Linked DNA regions of Lytechinus pictus. The protein of the gene in region 2 interacts with the protein of the main gene of each other region in a biochemical or structural test. Links are inferred from orthologs where the notes say so. Each region holds a gene or a part of one and is shown on either strand. Other genes may lie near its edges.

What was found.
Region 1: the proteins of DNA topoisomerase I, mitochondrial-like (region 2) and serine/arginine-rich splicing factor 1B-like form a complex in vitro, tested with the Homo sapiens proteins (2 studies listed by BioGRID, with this or other methods). The link is inferred for Lytechinus pictus from reciprocal best matches to the Homo sapiens genes TOP1 and SRSF1.

What each region holds. Positions count from the first base shown.
Region 1 is NC_087246.1:14,835,491-14,843,558, forward strand, and holds the start of serine/arginine-rich splicing factor 1B-like, read right to left. Parts: upstream 3,113-8,068; 5' UTR 3,014-3,112; intron 2,943-3,013; exon of another isoform or gene 2,522-2,942; intron 1-2,521. UniProt on the Homo sapiens protein: Plays a role in preventing exon skipping, ensuring the accuracy of splicing and regulating alternative splicing.
Region 2 is NC_087246.1:63,390,225-63,397,627, reverse strand, and holds the start of DNA topoisomerase I, mitochondrial-like, read right to left. Parts: upstream 3,250-7,403; 5' UTR 3,133-3,249; coding exon 3,124-3,132; intron 823-3,123; coding exon 801-822; intron 1-800. UniProt on the Homo sapiens protein: Releases the supercoiling and torsional tension of DNA introduced during the DNA replication and transcription by transiently cleaving and rejoining one strand of the DNA duplex.

The DNA.
Region 1 (8,068 bases), about 49 Mb from region 2:
TTTTCCCCATAAAAAAGCAAAATTTAAGGGTAGATCTAGATCTGAGCGAGGAGGGTGCAAAAACGCACCCTTTTCCATAGATGCTGTAGATCTAGTTAAGCGGCGTTTTTCGCCGTCATCCGTCTTAACATCAGATGTTCGCTAATATAATCTCAATATTACTAAAAAGTTAGGCCAAGGGTCTAACTCTGAATTATGCTTATGCCTGCGAGAAGTTATGAAATGCATACCGTACATGATTCAAAATCTATTGACTGATTGTTTTCTGGGACAATCTCAATACTAAAATTTTTATTTTAATTTTAGTTCCAAACTTGTTACAAGATCGATCGCTATCTCATATAGTGCTGCCACCATACGGATATCCGAACGGTTTCCGCCCGCGTGGACGGATAACGGTTTTCATTTTTCAGGTTCGGGTATCCGTGGACACTGATTCACCACTTTCCTGTCACAAAAACTCATTAAATTTAGTAAGACTCACCAACAAAATTTATAAGTTTTAGTCGCCAATATAATCACCAATATCAATTAATCTTCTTCGGTAATATATTCCCGCCGAAAACCATCATTTTTATATCAGTTTTGAAACATGACCTTATATCAGTTTTGGAGCATGACCGTCCGTGAATGGAGTAAAGTTCCGTTCTGACAACGATGGCTATTTTACTATGGTGTCGCTTAAGATCGTTTTTCTTTCCCCGTCTTATGTTTTGATGATTTCAAATGCGTAACTCATCGTATATTTTCTTACCTCGACTTTCAATGCGAGTGAAGAATGCAGATAATTTGAAACCATTTAAGCGTCAAATAAATGTTGATCGTGTAAATCGGGTGTGTCATGTTGTTTCTTGTAATTTATTCATCAAATGCAAAATGAATTCTACTTTTTCTCATAGCAACTTTGGTTACCAATGAAGATGATTATTTTTGAAACTATGAAAAGTTGAAAACGTCGAATGAATGTTGATTGCGTGTGTCATGTTGTTTCTTGTAATTTATTCATCAAGTGCAAAATGAATTCTGCTTTTTCTCACACCAACTTTGGTTACAAATGAAGATGATTATTTTTGAAACTATGAAAAGTTGAAAACGTGGAATAAATGTTGATTGCGTGTGTCATGTTGTTTTTGTGATTTGATAATGGCGGACTTTGTGATGAATGATAATGAGAGTGAAACTGAAATGAATGACGATGATGAGTGATGGCTAGTGAAAATGATTTTAAATGATTATCAAGATTGGTGAAGATGATAGCGATGAATGATGAGAATTATGAAAGAATGATAATTGTCAATTGAAAATCTTTCATGAATTAATATTTAATATATAAATTACAAAACACACATTTTCCTTTATTTCAGTTTAAATGGCATATCCACTATAAATTTTGATATCCATCATCACGTAAACAACAATACTTATAAGGCGGTATCGTGCCAGAAAGGTTTATGATGTGTGCCCGCCGAGTATGTGGTCGGTTGTGAATTGACGTGTTTTGCAGTAAAACTTACTGGTGATGAATGTAAGTGATTAGTTACTGTTACTGTAATTAAATCTTGTCTTGAATCTTTGTTAGAAGTGTGATTATGTTTCAGAAGTTGAGAAATGATAAGCTTGGCTATAATTTGGGGAATGGGGAGAAACCCGACATGAAAATGAAAATATTCCAAGTACGATCCCATTTGAAGGTGTAGCGAGTGTAATGTGACCAAATATATATCGGACGATTCAGTCCAGACACGTCCAGACAGGACAGCACGTGCGTGAGCTGAATGATGTAGGCCTGTCTGGTTTTAGACTTTTAGTAATAGTAGACTCGCACTTACACTCGCCTCGGTCAAATTCATTGCATCTTATTTCATTCGATCGGAACTAAAAAATAAACACACATACTCTCGCAACCATTAAATGGGATCGTAACTAGGCCCGACTTGTATAACTCAAATAATAGTCATTTACTAATAGCTTAGGGCCTACACAGTCATACGATCTACATTTGTAGCCGTAGCCTCACGCTAACTCACATTAGTCAAATCCGATTGCAAAACAGATTCAACCCAAAATATTCAGCTTCTCGTAATTTCGTGGTTTTCAGAAATATCTTAATTAGCGCACGCTGACTCTCGCCATCATCGAATAGGTTCAAAACTCAAATATAACTGAAAATCTTAAATATAACTCAAATAAGTGCAAATGGATATTATTTTTTATATTTCAGTTTCAGTCCTTTCAGTTTGCATAGCTGTTACGTTACATCTTTTTTTAAAATTGCTTTAGCTGCATACATAAGTTGTTGAAATGTTATTTTTGCATGATTTCGGATTATCTCTGGTGGGCGTTTCATGAAGCTGTTCGTAAGAGTAAGACAAGAGCGGCTTTAAGAATGACTAGTGATCCTTTCTTATGGTATATTCATTGGCGATAGTTTTTAGTGCGTACAAAAGGATCACCAGTCGTTCATAAATTAAGTTACAGACGCTCTTAGTCTTAGACTTAAGTCTTAACATGCTTAACTTACATACAAACGGCCCCCTGTTCTCATGTCATGGTTCTGTCAACTTCTGAATCTGATACAATTACAATTTGTCTGCTATTCTATGTTCACAGTGTAATTTGATTTGTGTATAATCACAGCTGCAAGTTTGTTTTATATTTTCTTGATTATGTATGAATTTTATGTGAATGAATGACAAAGATTACTTCAAAACAAAAATCTCGCTCTCACTCAGTAAAGTCTCAGCTCCAATCTCGATCCACACACAATTAAGGCACGCGGTATACAATGCTGTGCGCGCGTGCATGCACTGCACTGCGAGTTCAGGCATTTCAAATCAGGTTGCAACATTATCGAACACACTAAATACATGTAAATTACATGTACCGTCATCACCATCCAACCACCATCCATGTCAGTAATAATAAGTACAACTTTGATTCGCAAATATGTATGCGAAATCAACGATATTATAAACAGTGCACACAAAAATCGACAAATTGTGAATTGAATTACCCTTGTCCTCGCGACTGGTGAATGGGCTCTCTGCATAAAAAAAAGGTAACGTTAAACAACGACGCCGCGATTTTGATCGATATATAGCCGATGTGATCCGAAGGACGATCCGAAGCTAAGCTCGGAAAACTTCGGGTTTGTGTTTACATGAAGTCGAAGTCTAAGTCGAGAATAGTCTATTAATACAAACATTTTTCAAATTTAGAAATGAAACAATCTGTTCCGATACACATTAAGTTATCCCTATATAATAAATTTGTTTTAATGATATTTTTTTTAATTGTATTTTCAACACTACAATTGAATCCTCATTAGCTGCACATATGTGAAAAAAATCATAAGCAGGATTGTACAAAAAAGCCCCTCCCCCTTATTCTTTATAGTTTTATCATGGACCTACTGTCTCCCCCCCCCCTCTCTCTCTTCCTGCACCTCTCTTTTTCTCTCACTTTTGCTACTTTTGAAGACTAAACATTTATGTATGATCCACCACAACAAAAAGCTGATTTGAATAAAAAGAGAAAAGCCAACAAGCATAGCCAAACATTAAGCAAACGTCATCAAAATCAGATGTAAAATAAGAAAGTTTTGACATAAAAAAAAAGTTTCACTTAATTTAAAAAAACAGTTGTATGCACATCCTGGTTGGTATATGCAAATGAGGAGACTGATGACGTCATCCACTCACTATTTCTTTTGTTTTTTATTATATGATATCTGAAATGTTCTTATTTTCTCCTCATTGACAAATCAGTGAAACAATCAATTGTCAAATCTGTAAAAGAGAAAAAATGTTGTATAATTCAAATAACAAAAGAAATGGTGAGGGACATCATCGTCTGTCTCATTTGCATGTCACTGAGTTTTGCATACTATTGCTGTTTTGTGAAAAATAAGGGAAACTTTAAAATGTCATAACTTTTTTATTTTACATCCGATTTTGATGAAATTTTCAGCGTTATGCAAGTTTGATTTTTCTCTATTTCCTAAAGCAACATTTTCTGGAGTGGATTTGACCTTTAAAAAAATAAAGGGAGAAAAGCAAAAGAACAAAAAACCCTGAAAATTACTTTGTTTTCAGACTTTTTTCTATTAAAATATTGTTTAAGTCATATGATTAAAAGTTGATTATTTCCATGTATATAACATTTTTTAATACAGTTCATCTTTCAATCTATTCAGAAAGGCACAAATTCTGAATATTCATATGACAGGCATTTAAAGAGCTCTTCATTGGGATTACTTTTCACTACAACTCTCAATGAGAAGTTGACATAATTGTTATCCCATTCTGTTACCTACAGCATCAACTTTCAGGTAAAAGTAACCAAAGAAAGTATATCAATCTAGTATGCTCTAAATCTATCAGTGTGGAAAAATAGGCATTAATTTCCTAGAAATATAATAAAGACCACAATTCCCTTATTCTAAAATCCAAAAGAGCCTAGTCAGGAGACTTTCTTTGCCTATTCTTTCCATCATTTTGTGACAACCTTTTTATATCAAACAGTAGGCATAGGCCTAATGATAACATACCATTTTTAAAATAACATTTACTCTCATATAAAGCCTTAGTTCCAATATATTAGTGACAATTTTCCTTTTACCAACCCTTTACTTGCAATAAATTCAGTTTATTCATAACTCATTGTATCTGTTTTGTTAAGCCATTAAGAACTATGGCAGAATATGTCAGCTTACAGCACAAGTTGTTTACCAATAGTATATCTTTAAAAAAAATGTGACTCTTGAAACTGTTTGTTACAAATGCAGCCACTTTTTCAGTTGCAGAAATATGAGGTATTGAAGCTCAATAGACGCATGATATTCTTACTACTAGAAAGGTGATAAAAGTAAGGTTGTTGGTCTCGAACCTAATCGATACAAACTGTAAGATCAGGGCCCCTTCATACAAAGAGTTACGATTGATCCAATCAATCGTAACTCTATGGAAATTCTTCAGTGTCATAATTTTTTCTACATAAAATTTTCAAAATGTCCTTTTGTAAACAAAGGCGAACATACCAAATTGTCAATAAAACAATTAATTTATGTAAATTTACGTCATATGTAGAAAACATTTTGAACGTTCATGCATTTTAGATGTTGACGTTGCTGGCCGTCCATAGTTGTGATTGATCGGATCAATCGCAACTCTTTGTAAGACGGGCCCCAGGTTGTCCGCATTCTAAAAGTAGTGAAAAATATGGATAATCCATCAATTTCATATAGGAAATGTACATGTACATCTGTCCTTTTAAAAACAACGAAGAGCACAAGGATTTTTCACATAACGATGCATGCATGAGTATTTAAAAACACTTTGAACTGACATGTGCATTCTAGATTCATGCCATTCAATTGGCTTTCCATCCTTGTGATTGATAAAACAATCATAAATCTATGTAAGAACACGCCATCTGCAACAATTTATAAACTTTATTATGTTATCATCAGTGACCCATTCAGAACAAGATTACTAATTTTTTAATTCTTGAAATTGGTATATTTCTATTTTTGCTACATTTTTTTATTAAAAAGAATATAAAAGTGCCTCTGAGGGTTTAAATTTTATCAATCTGCATAAAAGCAGTAATTTTGAAGTTTCCATCGCCTAATCATGACACATTTTGTGTTTTATTTTCCTTTAAAACACTGATTAAAAGATGCTGATGCAATAAATGAGGCCTTTTTTATTAGTACACTTTGATAAAATCAATTTTCTAAATGTTGGAAATTCAAGAAAAAAAAAATCAACCTTTTTGTATAATCCAGTTTTCCTCTTTAACTGCACTTAAAACCATTATAATTCAAACTAGAAAACATGTAATAATTTCAAGAATGTCCCATATGTAGGGGGTCAAACATGCAACAACAGAGGTAAAACCAAATGGCAACACCGGAATAATCAAAATAAGATCAAGCAAACATCCACTTTATGACACCTCACCGTCAGGCTGATGAATCTTAAATTATTCATAATAAAAAAATGAATTAATTTCAGTCAATGGAGAAAAATTGAATTTCTCTCACTCTCATATAACAAAGTATATTAGAGTTGTACAAAGGACATATCACCAATTATCTAAAATATTCTTCACTCGCAACATATATGATTGACCTGGAAAAGAAATTGCGTACTATACATGCATATTTCTCACTACAATTGATTGAAAATATTTATAGATTGTGCCAATATAAGAAAATAATTCATAAATGCCTGGATATTAAAAGTTAACAGCCTACTTTGATAAACATATACAAATATGGTTCAGCACAATATATCATTAAAACAGCTGTTTTAATGTTAAGAAAGTAAAAATTACACCTAGAATTTCATACTACCAAAATGTACAAAAGAAGCATTAAATAATACAGGTGTATATTTTTTTAAAATGATGAATGTCTCTGGGTATTACACTTAATAAAATAAATAAACTTGATAAATCAAAAATAAAAGTGTAGGCTGTGATGTTTATGGGGGAAATAAAATGAAATCAAAATGATTTAGGATCAAAGAATAGTCAGTCACAAGATATTTAGAAATAATTTTGAAGTAAAAATATAGGGGAAAATCTAATAAAGATGTTGCATGATGAGAACAAAAAAAAGCAAATATATGTATGAAGGATAAGTAAAAGAATATTTAAAATGAATTTTATTTTACTATCATAAGTAAATGCAAAAGTAGAAGGAACAGAAAGAAAGCACAGGGTCAGAATTTGGCAATACGAAATCAAATGATACAAGAATACATTGACTTGCTGGAAAGGATTACTATGCCACAACAATATCCTATCATATATCTTACACAAGTATCATATAAAGCAAATCACTGCAGATTGCTCAATACAGATAGCAATTAAGCAACAATAACATCAAGTGACAATATCAAATTCAATATTGCAATAAAATTAAATGCTACAGATGTAAATTTTAACTAATATTGCTCAGTTAGCAAAACTAAATTTTGTTTAATAGCACCTACGATAAATAGACAAGTATTTGTATTAAGCAAGATAATTCTCTATGCACTTTATTGCAATAAATATAATGTATTAATTTTGCTTATATACAGCTATTGTTACAACTTAAGGAAATAATGTATGTAAAATACTAGTAATAATATCATCAATATATATTCAATATCTTTCCACTCAATGGCATTTTGATACAGCGTTTAAGAACACTTCGATTACTTGCACATTCATTACCCCTTTATTCACAATTCCTTCATAGTGAAGACAATCAAATAATGTTAGTTATTATAGACATGTATTACATGGACTAAAATTAAATGCTCAAAAATTAATAAATAAATAAAAACATCAACATTGAGGCTCACTGTGAGACCAGCATCATACATCCAAAGACTCATCATCTTTCAATTAAAAAGCATTGACTGGTCCTAAAGAAAGCATATCAAACAGAAATCAAATCTAAACCCACAATCAAAAATTGGGCACCAACACAATGGATTCTTTTCTAAATTTCAAGAGAGTGTTTTGATTTTCTGCATCCTAGCCAAAGTAAATTGTTCAACGGACCATTTTCAAAAGAAACAAGGAATGACAATCCCCCCCCCCCCATTTATTTAGTTCTTATTTATGGAGGTTCCCATATTAATCTCTGCTTCCAAAGTAAGCACAACCATGTACCTCTCTCATAGATCTATTGAATGGATACTCAGCCATGTTGTCTCATTATCATTACTGAACATGAAGATAGAAAACATAAATATTCAACTAGTCCAAAATATACAAATACTATTACATTAAATTCATAAAGACCCCATTCTTATTAATATTAATTATTATCATTTCCCTCACTGATATCACCTTTTATCATATCCCTGTGAAATGATTAGGGCTACACTCTCTGAAACAGAGTTTTCAAACAATCTTTTGAAAGCTTGATACATAAAAAGGGTGTTGCACACTCGGCACTTTGATTAAGTCAATAATACAATAACATGTCAATCTTAAGCTTTGCTCAAACTAACTCATTAAACTTATTCAAAATGAGAAAGGAAATACTTTTCTTAAATCATAAAGA
Region 2 (7,403 bases):
GTTGAATGGGTCAAAGAAAGCAGTTTCTGATTTGAATGATTCAGTCTGCTTCTTTAACTACATTGTCAAAGTCAGCTTCAGAATCTAATTAGGTGATCTGTCGATCGACATATTATTTTTCCGCCCTTTTCTTGATAGCACAAAATCTCAAAATCTGCATCATCAATTTTCTTCAAATTTTCATCAGTAATGGGGACTTATCATGTGAGGTTTATAAAACAAGTTCAAGGTCAAAAGGTCATCATGATGCCATTTTGTAAAATCACATTATCAATCATATCTTCATTATCAATTATAAAAAATTAACCATATTCTCATGACATTAACTTCAGGTCAAGGGTCAACTGTCCATTTCATCAAAGGTCATTTAAAGGTTATGCACGCACGTCAAAATTTTAAAATGCTCAAAATCACTTTTTTGACCAAAGTAGAGTATGAATCATGTCATTTTAAGCATTTCAAAAAATTGCGCGCGTGCGTAACGGCACTATACAACATAGAATTGCCACTTTTTTCAGATCAAAGCATCAAAAGATAATTCTGAGCAATTTGATACTTTGATCAACCTTCTACAACAAATAATAACGGAATTAGCCTCCATAAAAATTTACAGCATGCACACGCTAAACATAGATAATATATGTGCAAAAACATGCACATGTTTTGTTCTCATATGAACAAAATATATTGTCATGAAATTGGTATCATTTTAAATTCAGTATATAAAATTGTCTTATTTCATAATTTATAAGTTACTTTCTCATGATCAACAAAGGACAAATGATACTTTTTTTACTTACCAGACTTTATTTTGTCCACTTTCTGTAACAAGAAAATAAAAACAAAGGAAACAATAAAAATATCAAATATACATGGAATTAGCAAAAAATAAAAAAAAATAAAAAGAATGCAGGCCCCACAAAATTCAGGTGAAGGTTTTCTGGAAATTAATTGTGAGTCATGTTGATTGCTGACTAACAAATGGTTATAAATTTAAGGTTATAATTCAAATTTATGAATTATAATTCTATCAGTTTTGTCAAAGATAAATTAAAAATAAAACCCCAAATTATAAAACATATGATAGGGTAACCATAATTTGTGCACATTTAAAAAAGTTGATTTTCAATCAAAAATTTCTCAGTTCACACAAAATTAATCAAAATAATAAATACCAAATGGAAGGCAAGATCAAATTCACTTGACAGAATTATAAAGTACCGTAGGTCAAGGGTTTTGCTGGTATCGCGATCTGAAAATTCCATGGCGATCGACTAATGCGCTCGGCTGAAAAACTATCATAAAAAAGTGTGACCTTAATTTGCGCATGATCGTTTTGCAAAGCTTTAGAAAGAAATCAACTGAACAAAGGTAAGATTTTGTATCAGATAGAAGTTGAAATTATTTATTTTTAAATCATGATTTCCATTGAAACATGTACAAATGATATGACTTTTTTTATTTGTGCCAGTTTGATTTTTTTTACTCAAAATAGACAGATTTTTTATATCATTAAAACATGAATAAATCCTTCATATCTACGTACTTGAAATCAAGTAGTAGTAAATGAAATGGAAGTTAATCTTGCAATGTAGCAATGTTTCTTCCAAAGAAACTAATCCTCATTTCATGTTAAGAGTTTTGAATAGGAACACTAACTTTGCAGTATAGCTGTACGAAGACGGTTCCTCAACTACCAGTCAGTAGGAGCTAAATACTCTACACGAGATGATGCTGAAAACAGCATCTTCATTACGACTTACATATTCTTATCTATTTTGACTAGATTTAATTTTAAATAGTTCAGAATAATTTTAGTAGTGAAATGTACGATTTTAGAAATGTATTTTTATTTTTTGCACTTTGTTTTTAAAAAAATTGTTAAAAAAAAAAATCTGATTTAGACTTATTTTATGTAGGCCTAAATAAAAAAAAATCTGATTTAAATCATACAAATCTGATTTTTTTTTTTAATTAAAAAAAATTGCCAACCCTGATTTTGGGTCTCTCTTTCCGTTGCTGTTGATATCAGTTTTTCAAGATATTAGATATTGAGATATTTGACTGTGCGCAAAATTAGGTATATTTGTAACACGCGAATTAAGGTCACAAAACCATAATTGGAAAAAAAAAATACATCAGCCATCAAGCAAAGGCAAATAATATTTAAATTAAAAAAAAAAATTTTGAAATTGACAAGACAGATCTAGATCTAGTAGTAGTACATGTAGTAGAATAGATCTATGTATTTGAGAAACTTACAATCAAACTCAACATCTGTTCCATAAAAAAAATGGTCAGTGATTGATTTCAATCAGACGTCAACAATTCTTAATTCATTACCAGTCCAAGACTCCAAATTCTAACTTTAATAGTGTAAAAAGAAGACTTAATTTGAACTGTTTAACTGTTACAAATAAAATAAAATCTTTAAATTCTTTCAATTTCACCATTTCATTTGAGGACTTTCTTTTAAAAAAAGGTAAGTTTTTTACTTAACAACATGGTAATGCTAATGCCAGTAATGGGTTCACCATTCATATTTGAAGACCACAACCAGCACTCAAAAATATTATTCACATTCATTAGAATTCATCAAATTAAAATCTTCAAGTTGGACATGAATGTCACTTTAAATTTACGTCACACACCACTCCACAGTGCAGTACCGGTACTGGTACAGTTCATAGAAAGCATGTGAAAAGCGGAACATCTCAAATGACGTATGGGCCAAACACCGGGCATACAGATTAGAGCGGTCACGTTGATCAAGCCGCCGACTTCGTGCACACACCACACCATACACACGCATGCCATTCATGTACAAAGCATATGGAGCAAGCCAAAAAAATTACTAAGTACGGTACGGAGAGCTTATCGCCCTGTGTGCAATGATATAGGGCGAACGCAAAAATAACTAAGTACGAAGCACAACTGTGTGCATTTCAATGGCGAAGCGTTCCTTTCGACCTCGAACAAAAACTAACACATGTGTGATGTAGAGGCGGCAGCCGTATTAACACACTGATTCCACATAAAAACCATCTCAATCCACATACACTAATATTCCAATTCACGCTATGACACTAACACCACAAAATAGAGTAAAATGTGCGAACTTACCGAACTCATTTTGGTGATTCTTTGTCTAACCAATTTCCACGTTATGGCGGATGAGGATCGCAGAAAAATGGCTAAGTATCGAACTTTTTTCAGAGCGCATGCGCGTGGTCTAAAAAATGCCCGGATGATCCGGCCAAGTCTTGGAAACGACTCGTTTCAACTTGCTTTGTTCATCTATATTTGTTTTCTTTTCAAAATAGATGTATCATGTAGTAGTACGCTAGCGTACAGTTGAGATTAAGGGGGAGGGGAAGGGTTAGGGTTAAAAAAAAACACGACCATGCAAGAAAAAAAAAGAGGGAAGGGTGAAATATTTTCTGACTTAGGGCCAATGTCAAAGTCGATCATAATAATTTGTAATACTGAAATATCGAAATTTGTGCTAGCTCACTTGCAACTTTTTATACATTTTGCCCGATACGCCATATCTGCATGGCCCCCTCAAAACTTGGTGCCAGGCATAAATGGCAGAGGTAAAAATGGCATAGGTAAAAATGACCCGTTCCATTAAGGACCCCCGTTTTCACAAGCATTTGTAGTTCAAAAGCCCGTTCCGAGGACCCTCCTTTTTACAATAAGTCCGCTCCAAGGCCCCCGGTTTTTGTCTCGCCGGCGGCACACACCTACCAATTTTTTGGTCGAGTACCCCCCCCCCCGGGGGGGGGGGCAGAGGTATATTGTCAGAGGTAAAAATGGCAGAGGTAAAATGGCAGAGGTAATAATGGCAGAGGTAAAAATGGCAGAGGTAAAATGACTGAGGTAAAGATCATGACATATGCTACATCAACAAGGAAAAGACAGAGCCTTTCCAGTTAATATCAGTCATAATGCATTGGCCTTGAATGGACTCCTATATATCGACGGAATGAGCATTATGAACTGATAAGATATTATTTAGATTTTTTATTCATTTTAGGTCAGCTTTATCGTTGATATGATTAAATTCAACAATTGTCATGCCAAAATGATTTCAATTAGTGAGTAATGAAAGGATTTATCTTGGCCATTTCGTAGAGTAGAACAGCACTTCATCACATATTACCAAACGAATTTTAATGTAAACACCAAATGTGCGCTACCACGCATCAGGCGTGCCGGAACACTTTCACTTTTAGGGGGGCAAAAATATTGTGCCCCCTTCGGAAGGGGGCACAATATTTTTGACAGCGTGAGATACCGAAGCGATCGAGCGGGAGAGGGTGTGGGACCCCCCCCAACGGTCGACTTTGTGTAAAAATGGAGTATAAAAGTTGCGTTTCTATAATTAGAGCATTCAAAAATAAATTTCTTGAGAATTAAACATAGATTTCACTAAATATTAATTTATGAGAACTTTCGCGCAAAACGATCGCTTCGGAATGTGGTTTTCATGTCTGATCAATTAAATTACGTATTACGCTTATATTGACTCAAAATACCAGAAATTACATTTTTCATGCAATATCCTTTCAGAAACATTTATTTATGTACATTTACATACACGGACGACATTATTTTATCCAATAATCCAACAACTCAAGCCTCTTTAACTCTTTATCCTTTTCTGTTTTACAGGGTTCTAGGACAACTACCCCCTGGACAATCACCCCCCGGAAAACTACCCCCCGGACAATTCCCCCCTGAGGACAATTACCCCCCGGACAATTACCCCCCCCCCGAGGACAACTACCCCCCGAGGACAATTACCCCCCGGACAATTACCCCCGGACAACTACCCCCCGGACAACTACGTACCCCCGGACAACTACGTACCCCCGGACAACTACCTCCCCGGACAACTACCCCCCCCCCCCGGACAACTACCCCCCAGACAACTACCCCCCCCCGGACAACTACCCCCCGGACAACTACCCCCGGACAACTACCCCCCGGACAACTACCCCCCGGACAACTACCCCCGGACAATTACCCCCGGGACAATTACCCCCGGACAACTACCCCCTGGACAATTACCCCCCGGACAACTACCCCCCGGACAATTACCTTCAGAAAATCCCCCCTTCTCTCCAGCATCAATTTTAGAATTAAGCAGGACCCATTGTAAGTTTTGGTCGGTGGCACAGGTTTCCGAAATATTTTCTACTTTACCTTACGTTAATAACTTTTTCTTTCTCTTTTATATTGCTCTTTCTCCTGTTCTCTCACTTTCTTCTTTTTTCCTTTTTTGTTTTTGTTTAGCGGCGCCTTCTGCATCATGAAAAATGGGGGGGGGGGGGGCTCGCACCCGAAACCTCCCGTTTGGCTATGCATATATACATCAGAAAATTTGTAAACTGGCCCTCATTCTAAGTTTTCATATAACAATTGAACACGATTAGTTATAATAATCACAAATGCTGAATATCTCTGATTCCAACTGATCTGATTTTTTTTAAATATTTATTTTGGGTTTAATTTCAGGAAAGAAATCAGGCAAATAGATAAAACGTAAAAAAGACACCTTCATAGGTAGAAATATTGAAAGTCGATAACACAACTATCAACACTAACACTGTCAAGTAGACCTATAAATCTGTTATTTTAAAACAGTTCAACTAACAAGAAGTTAAGAATTATGAAACAATTGGTGCACATTCCAGATTAAGATGTGGCTTTATAACTTAATACAGTAAGCTAAAAAACTTTATGCAAAGATAATACACACAAGAACACCTGGTAAATTACAAAATGTTTTTGTGTGTATTATTCTTGGGTGAAAGCAATTAAACATTAAAGAAGGAAATTAAGTACCAAATTTACTAAATTGTAAACAATATGACATAATCAAATACAGTGTTTTTTCTATACAAATTGGCAATCATGATAGTATATAATTCGTTTAAGGTGCATTTTAAGGACGGTTTGTAAGAATTTATAAAGAAGTAGGCCTATGCAAATAAAATAATGCGACCGAGCAGCGTGAGCTGAAAATATTAATATTTAGACCATAAAACGGACATTTTACAGAGCACTTGAAAAATCAATTTGTAAATTTAAAAATAATGAAAGCTCGATATCCGAGATGAAATATGTTATGTGTATTGACTTCGAAACTTGATATTTTAAGCTCCATTTCAGCCTATATTGAGCAAGATATTAATCTCATCGAAAAAGCAATGCGAGCGCGAAGCGCGAGCGGAAAATACTTGATGTTCCGGTATGAAAATGGTGAATTTGAGTACTATCTAAAGCATTGTGTAGGGAAATTGTGAAGTGGATGTGGAAAGCACTTAATAAATGATGCGAGTGTGAAGCGCGAGCTGATATCTTCATTATTATTTTGACCTAGGACCTGGACATTCTAGGTCTAAGGACATTTCGTCATCATATGAAAATGATGACAACTTTCTTATTCCTCTTCCTGAGCGCGATATGAAACATATGAAACTGTGATATTGTCGATATTCTTTTCTGAAAAGGGACAATGTAGTCATTAAGAATTCATGAAAATGTTATTATCATATTTATTAATGTAATAAGCCTAAATGAGTGAGTAAAATGTGTTGACACTGAGGCCTGAAAACTGGATATTTTAAGCACTTTTGTAATCTTGAATAGGATTTGTGACTTGATATATTTTTAACAAAAATGCGAGCGCAAATCGTGAGACGAAATTTTTGGTAAACTGTCATAAAAGGGGGGTTTTAAGTAGTTTGTTATATAATTTGGCAAATCAAATAATGCGAGCGCATAGCGCAAGCTGCAAGTTATATTCACACCATAAAACGGACATTAAACAGAGCACTTAAAAATTTGCCCTTTGTCTAGGGGGTAATTGTCCGGGGGGGTAGTTGTCCGGGGGTAATTGTCCGGGGGTAGTTGTCCGGGGGTAATTGTCCGGGGGGTAGTTGTCCTGGGGGGCGTTTCATGAAAGGACTTGTCGGACGTTTTATCCGACAGTTACCATAGGAACAGTGCCTCCCAGCCAATCAAAATCATGGAAAGATGTCAGATCTGACAACTTGTCGGTGAAAATATTGATGAAACCATGGACATGATGAAACACTCCCCTGATACCGTTTTACAGTCATTTTCAGAACTACACAAATTGATAGGCGAGAAATTGGAAGATTGAGACTAGACTAGAGTATGACGACCTTGAGATGTTATGGTTTCTGGGCTTGACAGCTATAGGCCTAGGGCCTATGACATAGATTCCATATGTTGCTCGAGTAAAACCCCCGTCACACTAGAGGCGGAATGAGCCGGAATGCCGTCGGAATGAAAATTCTTGGTACATTCCTGGATATTCGAAGCGCATTCTAAAAATTCTGACTGCATTCTGAGTGCATTCCAGACAT